Macaca fascicularis: one gene and its partners. Each later gene encodes a partner of the first gene's protein in a complex. Links are inferred from orthologs where the notes say so. Each region holds a gene or a part of one and is shown in the gene's direction. Other genes may lie near its edges. The genes, in order: ITGAV, ITGB8, TGFB1 and ITGB6.

What was found.
Region 2: the proteins of ITGAV (region 1) and ITGB8 are in contact, whole or in part, in a cryo-EM structure (PDB 8TCF), measured with the Homo sapiens proteins. The link is inferred for Macaca fascicularis from reciprocal best matches to the Homo sapiens genes ITGAV and ITGB8. Residues at the interface, in NP_002201.2 of Homo sapiens: Tyr48, Phe51, Trp123, Leu141, His143, Gln150, Glu151, Arg152, Pro154, Phe184, Gln186, Phe189, Pro204, Trp209, Asp249, Tyr251, Tyr254, Arg275, Arg278, Thr279, Gln301, Met302, Ala303, Tyr305, Phe308, Pro328, Leu329, Met331, Ser335, Asp336; in NP_002205.1 of Homo sapiens: Ser197, Pro198, Ile202, His203, Pro204, Arg206, Ile250, Asp251, Thr252, Pro253, Thr287, Ser288, His289, Leu290, Ala291, Leu292, Asp293, Lys295, Leu296, Gly298, Val300, Pro302, Glu321, Ser324, Leu325, Gly326, Gln327, Glu330, His349, Trp350.
Region 3: the proteins of ITGAV (region 1) and TGFB1 are in contact, whole or in part, in a crystal structure (PDB 5FFO), measured with the Homo sapiens proteins. The link is inferred for Macaca fascicularis from reciprocal best matches to the Homo sapiens genes ITGAV and TGFB1. Residues at the interface, in NP_002201.2 of Homo sapiens: Asp178, Asp180, Phe207, Tyr208, Gln210, Ala245, Asp248; in NP_000651.3 of Homo sapiens: Gly242, Arg243, Arg244, Gly245.
Region 4: the proteins of ITGAV (region 1) and ITGB6 are in contact, whole or in part, in a crystal structure (PDB 9CZA), measured with the Homo sapiens proteins. The link is inferred for Macaca fascicularis from reciprocal best matches to the Homo sapiens genes ITGAV and ITGB6. Residues at the interface, in NP_002201.2 of Homo sapiens: Tyr48, Phe51, Lys72, Trp123, Leu141, His143, Gln150, Glu151, Arg152, Pro154, Asp178, Ala179, Phe184, Gln186, Phe189, Pro204, Tyr208, Trp209, Asp249, Tyr251, Tyr254, Pro274, Arg275, Arg278, Thr279, Met302, Ala303, Tyr305, Phe308, Pro328; in NP_000879.2 of Homo sapiens: Ser183, Pro184, Phe185, Lys187, Thr188, Thr189, Pro190, Ile236, Asp237, Thr238, Pro239, Asp273, Ser274, His275, Phe276, Gly277, Met278, Asp279, Lys281, Leu282, Ala283, Gly284, Val286, Pro288, Glu308, Thr311, Ile312, Gly313, Gln314, Ile316.

The regions. Positions count from the first base shown.
Region 1 is NC_088386.1:82,260,866-82,263,577, forward strand, and holds part of ITGAV (integrin alpha-V), read left to right. Parts: intron 1-390; coding exon 391-513; intron 514-784; coding exon 785-880; 3' UTR 881-2,712.
Region 2 is NC_088377.1:109,883,191-109,887,583, reverse strand, and holds the start of ITGB8 (integrin beta-8), read left to right. Parts: upstream 1-1,504; 5' UTR 1,505-2,622; coding exon 2,623-2,749; intron 2,750-4,393. UniProt on the Homo sapiens protein: Integrin alpha-V:beta-8 (ITGAV:ITGB8) is a receptor for fibronectin. It recognizes the sequence R-G-D in its ligands.
Region 3 is NC_088393.1:48,488,779-48,492,580, reverse strand, and holds part of TGFB1 (transforming growth factor beta-1 proprotein), read left to right. Parts: intron 1-2,619; coding exon 2,620-2,780; intron 2,781-3,802. UniProt on the Homo sapiens protein: Transforming growth factor beta-1 proprotein: Precursor of the Latency-associated peptide (LAP) and Transforming growth factor beta-1 (TGF-beta-1) chains, which constitute the regulatory and active subunit of TGF-beta-1, respectively.
Region 4 is NC_088386.1:55,629,439-55,633,771, reverse strand, and holds the start of ITGB6 (integrin beta-6), read left to right. Parts: upstream 1-1,441; 5' UTR 1,442-1,650; coding exon 1,651-1,711; intron 1,712-2,440; coding exon 2,441-2,520; intron 2,521-4,333. UniProt on the Homo sapiens protein: Integrin alpha-V:beta-6 (ITGAV:ITGB6) is a receptor for fibronectin and cytotactin. It recognizes the sequence R-G-D in its ligands. Internalization of integrin alpha-V/beta-6 via clathrin-mediated endocytosis promotes carcinoma cell invasion.

The DNA.
Region 1 (2,712 bases):
GAAAAATACAGAAAAATTAGCTGGGTATGGTGGTGCATGCCTGTAATTCCAGCTACTGGGGAGGCTGAAGCATGAGACTCACTTGAACTCGGAAGGTGGAGGTTGCAGTGAGCCGAGTTCATGCCCCTGCATTCCAGCTTGGGCTACATACAGGGCAAGACTGTCTAAAAAAAGATTGCGTTTCAGATGCAATCAGAAGTCAACCTGTCATTGGGAGTTTCATGTGTGTATGTGCATGCTCTTGATACCAAATGTGAAATCACTAAATTATCATATGCAGGAAAAGAATATACTGTGAATTCCATTAAAATAAAATATAATATTTTCTCAGATATTTGTTGATTAAGTCAATGCACTGTTTTTAAAACTAATATCTTTATTCCTCGATAGGTTACCACTAATGTCACCTGGGGCATTCAGCCAGCACCCATGCCTGTGCCTGTGTGGGTGATCATTTTAGCAGTTCTTGCAGGATTGTTGCTACTGGCTGTTTTGGTATTTGTAATGTACAGGGTAAGTAACGAACTTAGAAAGAGACAAAGAAGGAGAGAGAGAAAACAGAAGAAAAGGGAAAGGGCAGAAGGAAAAGAAGAATGAAAAGTAAGGGAAGGAAGAAAGGGACCTGTAATGAATGATGCTTGATGAGCATTACTTATTATTTGAGGGAAGATAAATTCTGTGAAATACAATTTGAATTTTCTTAGTGGCAATATAGTCACTCAGAAAATACTTTTCGTATTCTACACTGATGTGACAGTAATAACGGTTTTTCTTCAACTGACAGATGGGCTTTTTTAAACGGGTCCGGCCACCTCAAGAGGAACAAGAAAGGGAACAACTTCAACCTCATGAAAATGGTGAAGGAAACTCAGAAACTTAACTGCAGTTTTTAAGTTATGCTACATCTTGACCCACTAGAATTAGCAACTTTATTATAGATTTAAACTTTCTTCATGAGGAGTAAAAATCCAAGGCTTTACTGCTGATAGTGCTAATTGGCATTCACCACGAAATGAGCATTTGTCAACCTTCTCCTGATAAATAAGTTCAGACATACATTTAATAACATAGAGTGACTTGTGTTTTTAGGTATTTAAATAATAAAATTTCAAGGGATAGTTTTTATTCAATGTATATAAGACAGATAGTGCCTGATTTACTACTTTATATAAAATAGTACCTCCTTCAGTTACTGTTTCTGATTTAATGTATTGAATTTCATTTTTTGTTGTTGTTGTTGTTTTAAAGCAGTCCAAATTTGGACCTCAGCAATTATGTCTTTTGTATAGGTACTTAATGTTAATACATATTACACTACAGTTTACTTTTCAGGATACTAAAGACTTTATAACTGCATGAACTTAGATTTAGATTTTTTTAATCTCTTATATCGTGGAACTTTATAAACACATACATGATACCATCAAAATTCTTGCTTTTAATAACAAAGGTACAATATTTTGTTTTAATATGAAAATTGGGTAGATCCTATAACACTTTTGTTTATATTAAATCCACAATATTTTATTACATTTTAACTTGTATAAATTTTATGTCAAATCCTTCAAGCCAACCTATACTAAAAATTAGTTCCATAATCACAAATGCCTCTTTTGTGTAATTGTTTAATTTCAACTGAATATCATAATGCTTAAAGCCATATGGGGTTGGAAATTATTTTCAAAGCATATTTATTCCATTGTTTTAGTCTGGCTATTTACAGTATAAAAAAAGCATTTTTATTAAAATACTATGTAGTTCTTTGAGATAGTTGCTTATGCTTATAGTAAGTAGTACATTCTTAGAGTAGAGCAGAGTTTTTAGTTAGTATTAATTTATTTTCCCCCATTCATGTATTTTTCCTTATATTTCCAAAACTGTTACTGAGAATGGGTCAATATCAATGAGGAATCCTTACAGTTGACAGGAACCTGGACCCCTTACCCCAACTTTATGAGTAATGCTTGGAATAAAAACTCTTAAGGTGACTCACTGATTTACCTCTAGCAATAGCATAATGTTACAGGAATATTACCCCTGTTTAAGCAAGGTAATGTGTAAAATCAGTCTTAGCTATCAGAATAACTTCTAAAAAAATTTTTATAAGCAGTTCAAGTTATTGAAAACCTTTTAAAGCTTTCTGAAGTTTGTTAGTATAAATTAATTTTCTAGAATTTTTAATAAAAGCCACATAGGTAGAAAGTTGTAGTTTTATATGGCTCTGTAGAGTGGTGAACCTTCTAGAGGAATATATGATTTATTCACAGTTCCTCAAGGCCTGGGGATGCTGATCAATTATACCTATTTTTGTGCAATTACATCATGTTGTGCATTAGAAATAGAGAGTTTAATAGCTCTTTAACTGCTGTCCTCATTAGGTAATGATAAGTATTTCCCTTAAATAATTGACTATTTTGCTGTGTTTTAAAAATAATTGAAATTTACCTTGCCATATCTCATAATTTCCTGCAGAAATGACTGAGCTAATCTTAAGAAAATATTCATAAAATAGGAGCACATTTAGTTGAGGTATACAAGGTAGGACTGTAGACAAGACTCTCTATTTAGCTTTAGTGAATTTCAAAAGTAATGGGTCTTGAAGTATAGATTTGTATTAATAGCTTGAAAAAGCTTAATCACATGCAGTAAATATTTTTATTACCAATAAATTTAAATTTTTTTAAGAAAAATATTTTTATCCTAGGGCCAAGT
Region 2 (4,393 bases), on another chromosome or scaffold:
CAGATATTGACTATGATACTTTTGTGTTCAAATTTTCAAGTCCTCACACCCTTCCTAACTAATGTTTAGGTCTTTCCTTTAGGACAACCAAAAAACAAAACTATAACTGTTCAAACTTGGAACTAAGAAAATAAAAATTAAAGCGGAGCTGGATTTATTTCTATTTATTTAGAGTACATCACCTGTAGTAGAATTATGTTGCTAAGGTTGGGATCACGGCTTTGGTCTCTCGAAGGGACCTGCTTTGTAGATCCAGGGCGCGTTTAATTTTCTAGCTGGGTTCCTGGTTTGCTTAACTAATTCTGTGCACCTCGCTGTGCAGTCCACACCTGAAAGGGGGAGTTTCGATGTTGTGGTTTATGAACCAGGTACTTTCCATTCACTCAGTCAACAGAAAGAAAAAGAGAGAGAGAGCACGCCTCCTACCTTTTTTTTTTTTTTAACTAAAAATAAGGAGACGGAAACTATTAAATAAGAAGGGGGGAAACTCCCGCATATTTCACGTTGACCTGGCTGGACTGGTCTGTTGCCTGTAAGAGGCGGGTGTTGTATTAAAATAAGAGGTCAAACTTCTGGACTGGGAATCACTCCTGCCCCTAGAGGGAAAAGAGAACCATCACAGTGTTGAACTGGAAACACTGCCTCGTTTCCAATGCGGGGGACTGAGTTCCCTCCCTCGACTTAGAGTGGTAATGACAGGACCCGAGGAGGCGCGCTGCTTCCCGGACAGTTGCCCAGCATAACACCCGCATCCTACTTGCACCTAAATTTCTGAGCTGCAAGCAGGCAGAAACGCCTCCCACCTTCTCTCCTCAGCTCCCCTCTCCCCACTTAGCTGCTGTCTGTAACTTCTTTGTTCCGTTTACTGGGAAGGTGACGCTTAAGATCAAAAGACCCACTGTAACTTGCAAAAGCCCAGAGCCACCACCAGACGCTGGGGAAAAACAGGGCTGTCCAGCCCAGGGTTAAGGTTTTGAGTAGGGAAGGAGCAGCGAGAAATCTCGGCCAGTCGCTCCGGGAACAGCCCCTGCAGACTGGTCCAACTCTCCAAAGGCTAGGGAGACCGGGGCAGCCTTGTGGTGGGGCAGAGGACGAGCTCCTAACTGCAAGCAAAGTGCTGAGTAGAGGGCGTTGGGGGCAGGGGCGGTCCCTTGACTCCACTTTGTATGCAGCAGCTGCGGGGCAGTGAGTATCTCCGAACAAAGCGGCGAGCAGCGCGGGGGTGAGAGATTGGGGTTTGCTCGCAGCTGCTGCTGGCGCTGAGCGAGTCTCCCACCACCCCCGCGAGCGTTGGGGTGCAAGGATTCGGGGGAGGAGGGAGAAGGGAACGAGGCGTGCCATTCCTGTTGCGCGGCTACGCTTCAGGAGTTCTTGTGAACGATGGGAATGGCAACTATCAGAGCCAAGGGGGGAAAAAAAGAGCTGGAGTGAGCAAAACAAAGAGCGAGTGTGGGCCGTGGTGACTTCATGCCTCACCAATGTCCCGCCCACGCTGCTCGGAGCTGTTACTGCTGCTCCTGCCCGGGCTGCAGCCGCGCCTGCGGGCAGCCGAGCCGAGGCGCTCCGGTAGCGTGGGGAGGTTTCCTAGCAACTCTCTGCCCTGAGTGTACCGGGCTACCCGCAGGTCTGAAGCCCCCCGGGGGGCCAGAGCAGGACCACCCCTCTCCCGCCCATCGCCGCCCTCGCCTCTCTCGCATCCTCGCCGTGTGCACCCCAGAGCGCGCCAGCAACTCGGGCTCTGGACTGCGGGACGCCTGAGCCGCGCACTGGGGCCGACAGGACAAGGGCAAGCAGCCCCCGCCCCGCGTAGCCGGGCTCCGGCACCCAGCGGAACCTCCCCTCCTGCGCTCGCAGCCGCGGGCCCCACTCCCCGCCAGGCAGGGAGCGGCGATGCCTCGCTCTGTGCCTGCGGGAGTCGGCGGGTGCTTCTAGGGAGCTCCCAGAGTCGCCTCCCCCTGTTGCTGGCATCCCGAGCTTCCTCCCTCGCCAGCCAGGACGCTGCCGACTTGTCTTTGCCCGCTGCTCCGCAGGCAAGGCTGCAAAGCTGCAGCTAGTGAAGTTGGCCTCCCTGCCCACCTGTGGAAGAAACTGCGCTGATTGATGCGCCATCGACTTTTTTCCCCTCGACCTCGCCGGCGTCCCCTCCCACAGATCCAGCATCACCCAGTGAATGTACATTAGGGTGGTTTCCCCCCCAGCTTCGGGCTTTGTTTGGGTTTGATTGTGTTTGGCTCTTCGCTAAGCTGATTTATGCAGCAGAAGCCCCACCGGCTGGAGAGAAACAAAAGCTCTTTTCTTTGTCCCGGACCAGGCTGCGGAGCCCTTGCAGAGCCCTCTCTCCAATCGCCGCCGGGGCCCTTGGCCGTCGAAGGAGGTGCTTCTCGCGGAGACCGCGGGACCCACCGTGCCAAGCTGGGAGGGCCGCAGGGGCCCTGAGATGCCGAGCGGTGCCCGGGCCCGCTTACCTGCACCGCTTGCTCCGAGCCGCGGGGTCAGCCTGCTAGGCCTGCGGAAAACGTCCTAGCGACACTCGGCCCGCGGGCCCCGAGGTGCGCCTGGGAGGCGCGAGCGCGCGTCCGGAAAGCAGCCAGGCGGCGGGCGCGGGGCGGGCCGTTTTGCATTATGTGCGGCTCGGCCCTGGCTTTTTTTACCGCTGCATTTGTCTGCCTGCAAAACGACCGGCGAGGTCCCGCCTCGTTCCTCTGGGCAGCCTGGGTACTTTCACTTGTTCTTGGACTGGGCCAAGGTGGTAAGTTGTTTTGTTTTGTTTTCTTCTTTTCCTCAAAGGTCTTGGGCTGGCACGAAGAGCTGCCCAGCCAGAGCATCCCGGCCAGGTAAGTTGCGGTCATCAGAGAACTTCAAGAGGGCGGGTGCGTGGCAGCGTCCTCTAGCACAGATGGCCTCTAGGCCAGGTGTCAAGCATTTCTGCCCTGGAGCGACAGCAAGGACTAATTATCAGAGGAGGCACTGTGTGTTACTCCTAGGTGTTGAGGAAGCCCTGACAGAAAGGAATTTTGGAAGACAGGGTGTCCTGTTTACAGAAGTCATTTAGGGGCCCTGGTCCATTCTTAAGGGCATCGTCTGTACAGAATATTCTCCCCATCTTTCTAACATTTGGGTCCACTAACAACTAACTTGCCTTTAACTCGAGGCTGTAGATAAGTTGGTTATAATGGGAGTAGTCTTCAATTTTTGAGTCCAGAAAAGGACAGCATACGAGTTTCTACTATCATTAGTGCTCAATCTGAATGAATCACCCACACTGGAGGGATATTCATGCTTTAAGTCACCATCCTTTCAGCTTAAAAAAAATACTATCTAATTGATCCCTCACAGAGATCCATCTCTGGTACAGAGAAGCAGAAAGAACTCTGGACCAGGATTGACAGCTTTCTGTCCAGGCAAACCATTTATGTCAGAGCTACCTTGATGTGGAGAGGTTAACTCTTTATGAAATTCATTGTCCTCGTCTGTAAAACGAGGTTAATAATACCTGCCTTCTCTAAATCACAAAGGGAAGTTCAAGTCAAATAGTACACGAGAAGGTGTTTCAGGACTTTTGATTTATGAGACAAAATCAAATGTAAGGTGGTATACCGGATTGGATTGTTGGAAAATTATACAACTAAGTAATAGGACGAATCATGAGTTTAGAATGAGTTCTTAATGGTTTTCAATATAGACCCAACATTTATTTTTGCCAATGCAGTGACTATTGTCATACTTTCTTTTTTTTTTTTTTTTTTAATTTCACTTTTTGTCTGTTTGGTCACCAAGTCCTTAAATTATATTAGATCCTTTCTCTGACCTCTCAGGCTCAAGGAGAGTTGAATTAATAGTTGTAATTGTTTTGTAGGTTAAAATTTACTCCTATACTTTGATGTGCCAAGTTTTTGCCTGAAGCTAATTAAAGCAGCCAAGTCATAACCTTATAAGTAGGCTCTCTCTCTCTATATATATATATATAAAAACATTTGGAAACATCCAGCTGTCTTTAGTAAATTGTTGCATATATAGTTTTCTAATATTTGTTTCAGGGAGATTTGCTCAGTTATCTGAAATGGAGAAATTAGAGTAAATCTCTTGATCTTGTGGTTATTTTTTGGCTTGTTTGTTGATTTCAAAATAGTGAAAAGGCAAAGGAAAAAGTAACATTCATTATCAGTTATCTCTTAAATGGAAGAAGCATGCATTTGTTGCAACAAATTTTCCACTAAGCATAATTTCATCCTGTTTCAATAAGTAATAAAGTCCTTTTCTAGATTTAGCAAACACACACACACACTAGTAAAATGACCAAAATTTGTGTTATAACAGTATATTTTGTTCCCAATGTATAGACAAAGGAAAAAGTCTCACTTGCCTCTAAAATTTACTATTTATAGTACATTTA
Region 3 (3,802 bases), on another chromosome or scaffold:
TTCTCCCCAACAAATGCACATGTGTCTCTTCTCGCACGTGTGTCCCCATCTGCCTCTTTCTTTTCGTCTCCGTTAGTCTCTCTGTCCACGCATGGTTTTTGTCTCTGCGACTATTTTCTCTCCCTTTCTATTTTTCTCTTCCACGGTCCTCTCTGTCTCTAGCATCTGACCGCCTCTCCCTCTCGCAGCACCCTCCAACCCTTCCTTTCCCTCCTCTTTCTCTTCCTCCCTATCTGTCTTCCCCAGCCAAGGCTCTGCCTTTCCTTTGGGGTTTGCTGAGTAACCTCCGGGCCAAGAATAGGGCTTATTGGGGCTGGGTGGGGAGGGAGACTGGGGAAGAGGAGGAGGATCTAAGGGCGCCCTAGGAAGCGGTTTCCTCTGGCTTTCTCACCAGTCTCTTTTCACACCCCCACTATAGGAGGCTGGAAGCAGTTGCCCCAGTTGATCCAGGAGTTCAATGATGGCCTATTCCCTCATCCTCAACCCCAAACTTTTCCTAAACTAGAAAATAACTTGGCTGGGCGCCGTGGCTCACGCCTGTAATCCCAGCACTTTGAGAGGCCAAGGCGGGTGGATCACCTGAGGTCAGGAGTTCCAGACCAGCCTGGCCAACATGGGGAAACCCCGTCTCTACTAAAAATACAAAGATTAGCTGGGCGGGGTGGCGGGCGGCGCCTGTAATCCCAGCTACTTGGGAGTCTGAGACAGGAGAATCACTTGAACCTGGGAAGCGGAGGTTGTGCCACTGCACTCCAGCCTGGGCGACAGAGACTCCGTCTCAAAAAAGAAAAGAAAAGAAAAGAAAACACCTTAATTCCTTTTGTCCCCACTACAGCCGTTCCTACCCAGAATGAACTTCACTTTCCCTAACCAGCTGGGGAAGGGAGTTAAGGGTGGAAAACGAATAATAAAAAGTAGAACAATCACTTAGGGGATAAGAGCACAGTCTCTAGCTGGGTGGGTGCGGTGGCTCATGCCTGTGATCTCAACATATTGGGAGACTGAGGTGGGAGGATCCCTTGAGCCCGGGAGTTCCAGCCTGCAGTGAGCCATGGTTGTGCTACTGCACTTCAGTTTGGGGGACAGAGTGAGACCCTGTCTCTTGGTGGGGGGGATGGGGAAAAAAAGCACAGTCTCTGGAACTAAACAGCTTGAGTTTGAATCCCAGTCTGCAGCTATGTGACCTTGGGGCAAATTACTTAATCTTGGTGCCTCAGTTTCTCCATCTATTAAATGGGTATAATAATAGTATAAGGTTGTGAGGTTAAATGTCTTCATCTTTGTAAAGTGCTTTAAATAGCATCTGGTAAATAGCGCTGTTTGTGGTTTTTTTTTAATTGTTGTTGCTTTTTTTTCTGAGACAGAGTCTTACTCTGTCACCCAGGCTGGAGTACAGTGACTCAATCTCGGCACACTATAACCTCTGCCTCTCAGGTTCAAGCGATTCTCATGCCTCAACCTCCCAAGTAGCTGGGATTACAGGTGCCCGCCACCATGCCTGGCTAATTTTTGTATTTTTAGTAGAAATAGGGCTTCATCATATTGGCCAGGCTGGTCTTGAACTCCCGACCTCAGGTAATCCATCCACCTCGGCTTCCCAAAGTGCTGGGATTACAGGTGTGAGCCTCCGTGCCCAGCCAGTGCTCTTAAATGTATACATGATTGAGTGACCAGTGTATACAGAATTGGTGCCACATGGCTTGACCTGGGTCATCTAATTTCCCACTATAATCCTGGAATGGGTTCTAGAGTCGCTCTGTCTTGCCTTACAGATGAGCACCTGGCTCAGAGAGGAATTCATTTGCCCAAGGTTACACAGAGTCTGGGTGGGAGTGCAGGGAGCTTAATGTTATTGCTGGTTTTCAAAGAATAACAGGAAACTGACTTCAGAAAGAGGGTGTTAACTGCCCATGGTCAGACAGCCGAGAGGGAGCAGAGGCACTATCTGAGTCCAAAGCCTGTGCCCTTGATCCTTACTCTGCATTTTAGGGGCTCTTGCATTTGGGGCAAGGAAGGCCAGAGCAAACAGAGTGGTTCCCCTTAGTGCCAGCCTTAGTCGACTTGACAGATGATGCTACATGAGAGAGGAGTGTGGTTAGGACCCATTTTACAGAGGAGGAAACAAACCCCCAGGGGGAGAAACCACTTCTTCAAGGTCACACAGCTAAAAAGTATCACAGTCAGGGCCGGGCGCGGTGGCTCACGCCTGTAATCCCAGCACTTTGGGAGGCCAAGGCAGGTGGATCACCAGGTCAGGAGATCGAGACCATCTTGGCCAACATGGTGAAATCCCATCTCTACTAAAAATACAAAAATTAGCTGGGCGTGGTGGCATGCGCCTTTAGTCCCAACTGCTTGGGAGGCTGAGGCAGGAGAATTGCTTGAACCGGAGAGGCAGAGGTTGCAATGAGCAGAGATCACGCCACTGCACTCCAAGCCTGGGTGACAGAGCGAGACTCTATCTCAAAAAAAAAAATAAAGAATAAATAAATAAATAAAAGGTATCAGTGACTGACTCCACCCCAGAGTTGTCAGCTCCAAAACTCCTAGACTTGGGAGCACCAGCTCCCCTCACCTCTGCCAAACCCCTGATCACCTCCCTTCATTTCTCCCTGCTAGAAATCTATGACAAGTTCAAGCAGAGCACACACAGCATATATATGTTCTTCAACACATCAGAGCTCCGAGAAGCAGTACCTGAACCTGTGTTGCTCTCCCGGGCAGAGCTGCGTCTGCTGAGGCTCAAGTTAAAAGTGGAGCAGCATGTGGAGCTGTACCAGGTGAGGACATGAGCCAGAAGGAAGGTCAGGGCATGGGCTGGAGAGGGTGAGCTGTGACCAGCGGGGCGGCTGTGGGTGTGCTGGCTACAAGGTCCACCTAGATGGTCCCTGAAGGATAGAGGAATACAGACCATACAGTCCTAGGACTCTTTTTTTTTTTTTTTTCTTTTTTGAGACAGAGTCTCGCTCTGTTGCCAAGCTGGAGTGCAGTGGTACGACCTCAGCTCACTGCAATCTCCGCCTCCTAGGTTCAAGTGATTCTCCTGCCTCAGCCTCCCAAGCAGCTGGGATTACAGGCGTGCACCACCATACCCAGCTAATTTTTGTATTTTTAGTAGAGACGGGGTTTTACCATGTTGGCCAGGATGGTCTTGAACTCCTGACCTCGTGATCCACCTGCCTTGGTCTCCCAAAGTGCTCAGATTACAGGCGTGAGCCACTGCGCCTTGCCTTTTTTTTTTTTTTTTTTGAGATGGAGTCTTGCTCTGTCGCCCAGGCTGGAGTATAATGACTTGATCTCGGCTCACTGCAGTCTCCGCCTCCTGGCTTCAAGTGATTCTCCTGCCTCAGCCACCTGAGTAGCTGGGATTACAGGCATGCACCAGCACACTGGGCTAATTTTTGTATTGTTAGTAGAGATAAAGTTTTATCGTGTTGGCCAGGCTTGTCTCGAACTCCTGCCCTCAAGTGATTCTCCTACCTGAGGCTCCCAGAGTGCTGGGATTACAGGCGTGAGCCTCCGCACCAGGAATCTAGAGCACTTTTAAACATTCAGACTCTTTGCATCCTAGGACGTTAAACACTTAGAAGGCTGGAATCTTAGGAGTTGGACTCTTTAAGGACACAGGATTCTTGAAAGTTGGGATCTCTGAAAAGGTTGGGGACTCTAGAATCATGCTGTCCAATGTGACAGCCGCTAGTCACATTTAATTTTATTAAAATTTAAAGTATTTAAAATTAAATTAAAAATTTAGGGCCAGGCATAGTGGCTCACATCTCTAATCCCAGCACTTTGGGGAGCC
Region 4 (4,333 bases), about 27 Mb from region 1:
GATTTTTAAAATGACAATAACAGAGACACAATTTGTGGCTCGATCTTTCTTCTTCAAGATAAATCAACTAATTTTACATAAATTTTCTCCCAAAATGCACATCTTCCAATTATTCAATAATTCTGGATTGTTACTGCAGAATTCTTGCCATGTTTTTCCAGCTTCTTGGATACGATGGAGTTCAAAATTGAACATAACATAGGCTTCTGAGAAAAGCCTAGGTAGTCTATAATTAGTTTCTCTCTTTCTTTGGTTTTTATTTTAAAAATTATTTTATTTTAGTTTTTATTTTTGTGGGTATATAGATATTTATGGGGTACATGAGATGTTTTGGTACAGGCATGCAACGTGTAATAAGCACCTCAGGGAAAGTGGAGTATCCATCCCCTCAAGCATTTCTCCTTTGTGTTACAAACAACCCATTCATAGTCTTTTAGTTATTTTTAAATGTACAATTAAATTATTGTTGACCATAGTCCGTTTCCCTCTGTTTACAGGTTTCACATGCTTACCTAGTAATGCTCCTTGAAAAGATTATCTCCTCAGACATAAGCCTGGCCACAGAAAAGTCTCTCTAAGGTCAGCAGTTTCGAGAGTGACGAAGTGAGAATTTGATTCTTATCTGTTCACAGACTCTACGAATCCCAAAACACCCTCCTGAAGAACACATTGGGGGAAAAATACAAACAACCTTATGGATTTAGCCATAGATCATATATATGTTAAATTGTCACTCTTTCACTCAACAAATAAATATCTCCTATGTGCCAAATCATGAGCCAGAAGTTGGAACAGCACATTGTGAAGAGAACTTGGTCCCTAGCCTGAGGGATTCAGAATCTTGGGCACCATCATTTCTGTTTTCATCATTGTTGTCATCAATGTCTTTTGACACAGTCTTATTTTGATCTCCTTTGGTTTTTGTATATTATGATTATTTCCAATATCATTTTAAAATAGGAATTTCGTACTTATGGAAAAATATATGCCATCTAATTTGAAAAATAAGGAAACAGTGCTTTGCTTTCCCTAGCCTGCCTTCTCATTTACTGTAAAATAATAATTTTTCTTTTTCAGGGTTCATTTCAATTTTTTGAAAAGGGTTTAGCAATGAAATACAAAAATCTCAGTTATTTTCATTAAGCTCATTTTTTACTTTCCCCACATATAGGCTATATGCTTTATTTAATATCTTTATTCTTTACATTAAGTTAAAATTATTTTAGAAATGACTATTTCAATTGCTGTTTTGACATTTCATTGATCAATATTTCACTAAAGATAATAACTTTCTCTAGGATGCAGAGAGACTCATAGAACTTACACCAGAATTTCCACTGAATGAATTTCCCCACCTTCTTGGTGATTGTACACCTGCCTTCCTTATAAGGCGAACAAGGAAGTAAATCATGTTGAAGTTGCTTTTAAACACAGCTTTTCTGCTTTACCTGTCCAGGTAGCCTCTGTTTTCATTTCAGTCTTAAAGAAAACTTTCTAACTTACATCTCAAGTTTCTTTTCAAAGCAGTGTAAGTAGTATTTAAAATGTTACACTTCAAGAAAGAAAGACTTTAACGATATTCAGCTTTGGTCTTGTAACGCTGAAGGTAATTCATTTTTTAATCGGTCTGCACAGCAAGAACTGAAGCGAATGGGGATTGAACTGCTTTGCCTGTTCTTTCTATTTCTAGGAAGGAATGATCACGTACAAGGTAAGACCTACGTTCTCCGATATATTGCTTTCGTGGTATGCTTGACAAACTTGTCATTTGGTTCAGAAACTAGATCTGAAGTCATGTTTTATTTGATCTGTTCCATTGCTCTTTTGTCACTGAGTGAACGCTTTAACAAATTACAGACAAACACCGGGCAGTTCCCACAATGAATGCTCTAGGCTTAAGGTAAATAAATACAAAGGTTGCACAGGCATTTTAATGAGGAGAATTAAATAACATTGCTGCCCAATGGAACTTAGTGCCACTGTGATAACCATTTTTGAAACTTTTCTATTTTATTCTACCACAAGATCTTCCACTTAAGAGTAATAATCTTGAAAGAGAGAAAGGATTTATTTCAAAAACAGAAATACCTCGTTTAAGAAAGAAGCATTTTTTAATGGGTGCATGTAATTTTTAAAAATTAAGGTGGAACAATAAATAGGATAATCCTATATTTGTGAACTTTCACATTTTAAGAAAAAAGAGGATGATAATTTTGGCTTATAAGACATACATACTTTTTAATACACATACACATATTTTACATGTGATAGATGTAAAATACAAACTTTTATGTGAATTGCTAACATTTCGAGGACTGATCTTGGATACTAAACTAAACTTTGATGTTGTTTTGTTCAAGTAATGTAAGAGCCATCAGTCTCATAAATGGAATGACTGAAAGTATACTTAATCCCTGCGTCTTGCTGGGTCTAAACCTAGGTGGCTGTGCCCTGGGAGGTGCAGAAACCTGTGAAGACTGCCTGCTCATTGGACCTCAGTGTGCCTGGTGTGCTCAGGAGGTAAAATAAACGACCTCAACATGTTTTTAAAACCTGTCTGCAGTTACACTCATGTTAATTTCCTCAGTGATAGTTCTGATAGTGAATTGCTTTTTTGTGGAATTGTATGAGTAAAACAAATCAGGAAAGGAGAAGGTGAGCATTGGTAGATCAAAATGGCATTCATGTGATTACTTTCAAAAACAATTTGTAGAAGGAGTGGATGTCAAATTATTTGGAAAAATATGTAACTTGGGATTTTTAATTTTACCTCACTCCTTCTCTTATTGTAAAGCCATTTCTAACTGGTTGCGTATAAAATATGGAGGCTGTCTGGATAATCAGAGATCATGGAGATGGATTTTCTAAAGTTAAACATACATTTGATGTTCATATCATAGTTGTATTCCATCTGGGTACTAGGATCCATTCTGAACTACTGCTAGGTTCTGAGGGATGTGTTTTAAGTTTGGGGCAAATATTACTGGTCAGGCATTATCCAGTTCTTTTAAAAATGGCATTTTCATAAACTCAGTGACTCTGTACCATGCCAGTGACAAAGTTCCAAATAGGCACTCCTTATCTGGTCAAACTGAAAACTATGTGAAATCAGTGTGAAGATGATCGGGGAATATCTACCAAGCCATTCTAAGACACTAGAGAGTGATGTCTGACTGATTCATGGTGAGAAAGACAGGCATTAGCTTTCTGAATTTTAAAACAAGTCTCTACCCACTGGATCTCATAAAGATAATCTAAACATAAATCAAATCATACAAATACCAAGTTCAGCGAAACCTCAACACCTCAACACCAAACTCAGAACTGGGTTCTACCTGTGGAAACCCAAACTCTGAGTTCAGTGTGTATCCATGAAGACAGGAGAGCACAAACGTAGCTCAGTCCCCTACCAGAGCCTTGACCGACGCGACCACAAACAAAAGTCCAAGAGAATTATGCCTTTTTTTGAGTTCCTGTATCAAAGCAGGATTGAGAATATACAAGGAGGGAAAAATTCACATGTTTTTGGGTATTGACTTCCTGAAGAAGTATTAGTTTCATGCCAGAGAGATAAAATAACAAATCAGCCTAGAATTTTCATTTAAATGCATTTTTCAGCATTTAGTTAAGAGTTTCCTAAGTTGCTGCTGATAACTTTACTTGTGGATAATACTTGGTAGCCAAATTGTTGTCAAATTGTAAAGTCAAATTATTCTAAGAGGCCACTCTAATATTAGAAGTAGTTATGAGGATGCCAGTTGAGGCAGTTGGAGCAAAAAGTAAATTAGGCTTCTGCTTAGGGCAGATAGAAAATAGGTCATGTGGTTAACACCACCTCTGATCTTTTGGCAAAGGCTATGACTAGAGGGATAGCAATGACACTGTGTTGAGAAGGATTCTGAAGCCTTGGCCAGCCACTGTTTCCCTTAGTGACATCATGGGAAGTTACAGTTTGCCATGCCTGGCCTAGAGCTTCAGACATGCACAGGCCTACTGATTGATAACAAATTGTATTCTCAAAATCAATTTCAGAAGAAATCTAACTTTCCTAGCTGATGAAAACAGCAAGAGTGGCTTGGAGTTCTAAGAGGCAAGGAAAATAGTGTGAGCATTGGTTTGGTTTTCTCTAAGCATGAGAGTCAATGGGCAACAAGTTCCCCTTTGCGTAGTGTCATGCCCGCCCTAGAGCAGTCGTGCCTATCAGGTAAGTTAGGTATTTAATCTGTTAGCTCCATCTCCCTGTTTTGGGCGTTCCAGAATTTGAATGACCACATCTCTGCTGCGAACGACTTCATCTCACTGTACCTCTGCTATCCTTGTGGAACTCCTGTGT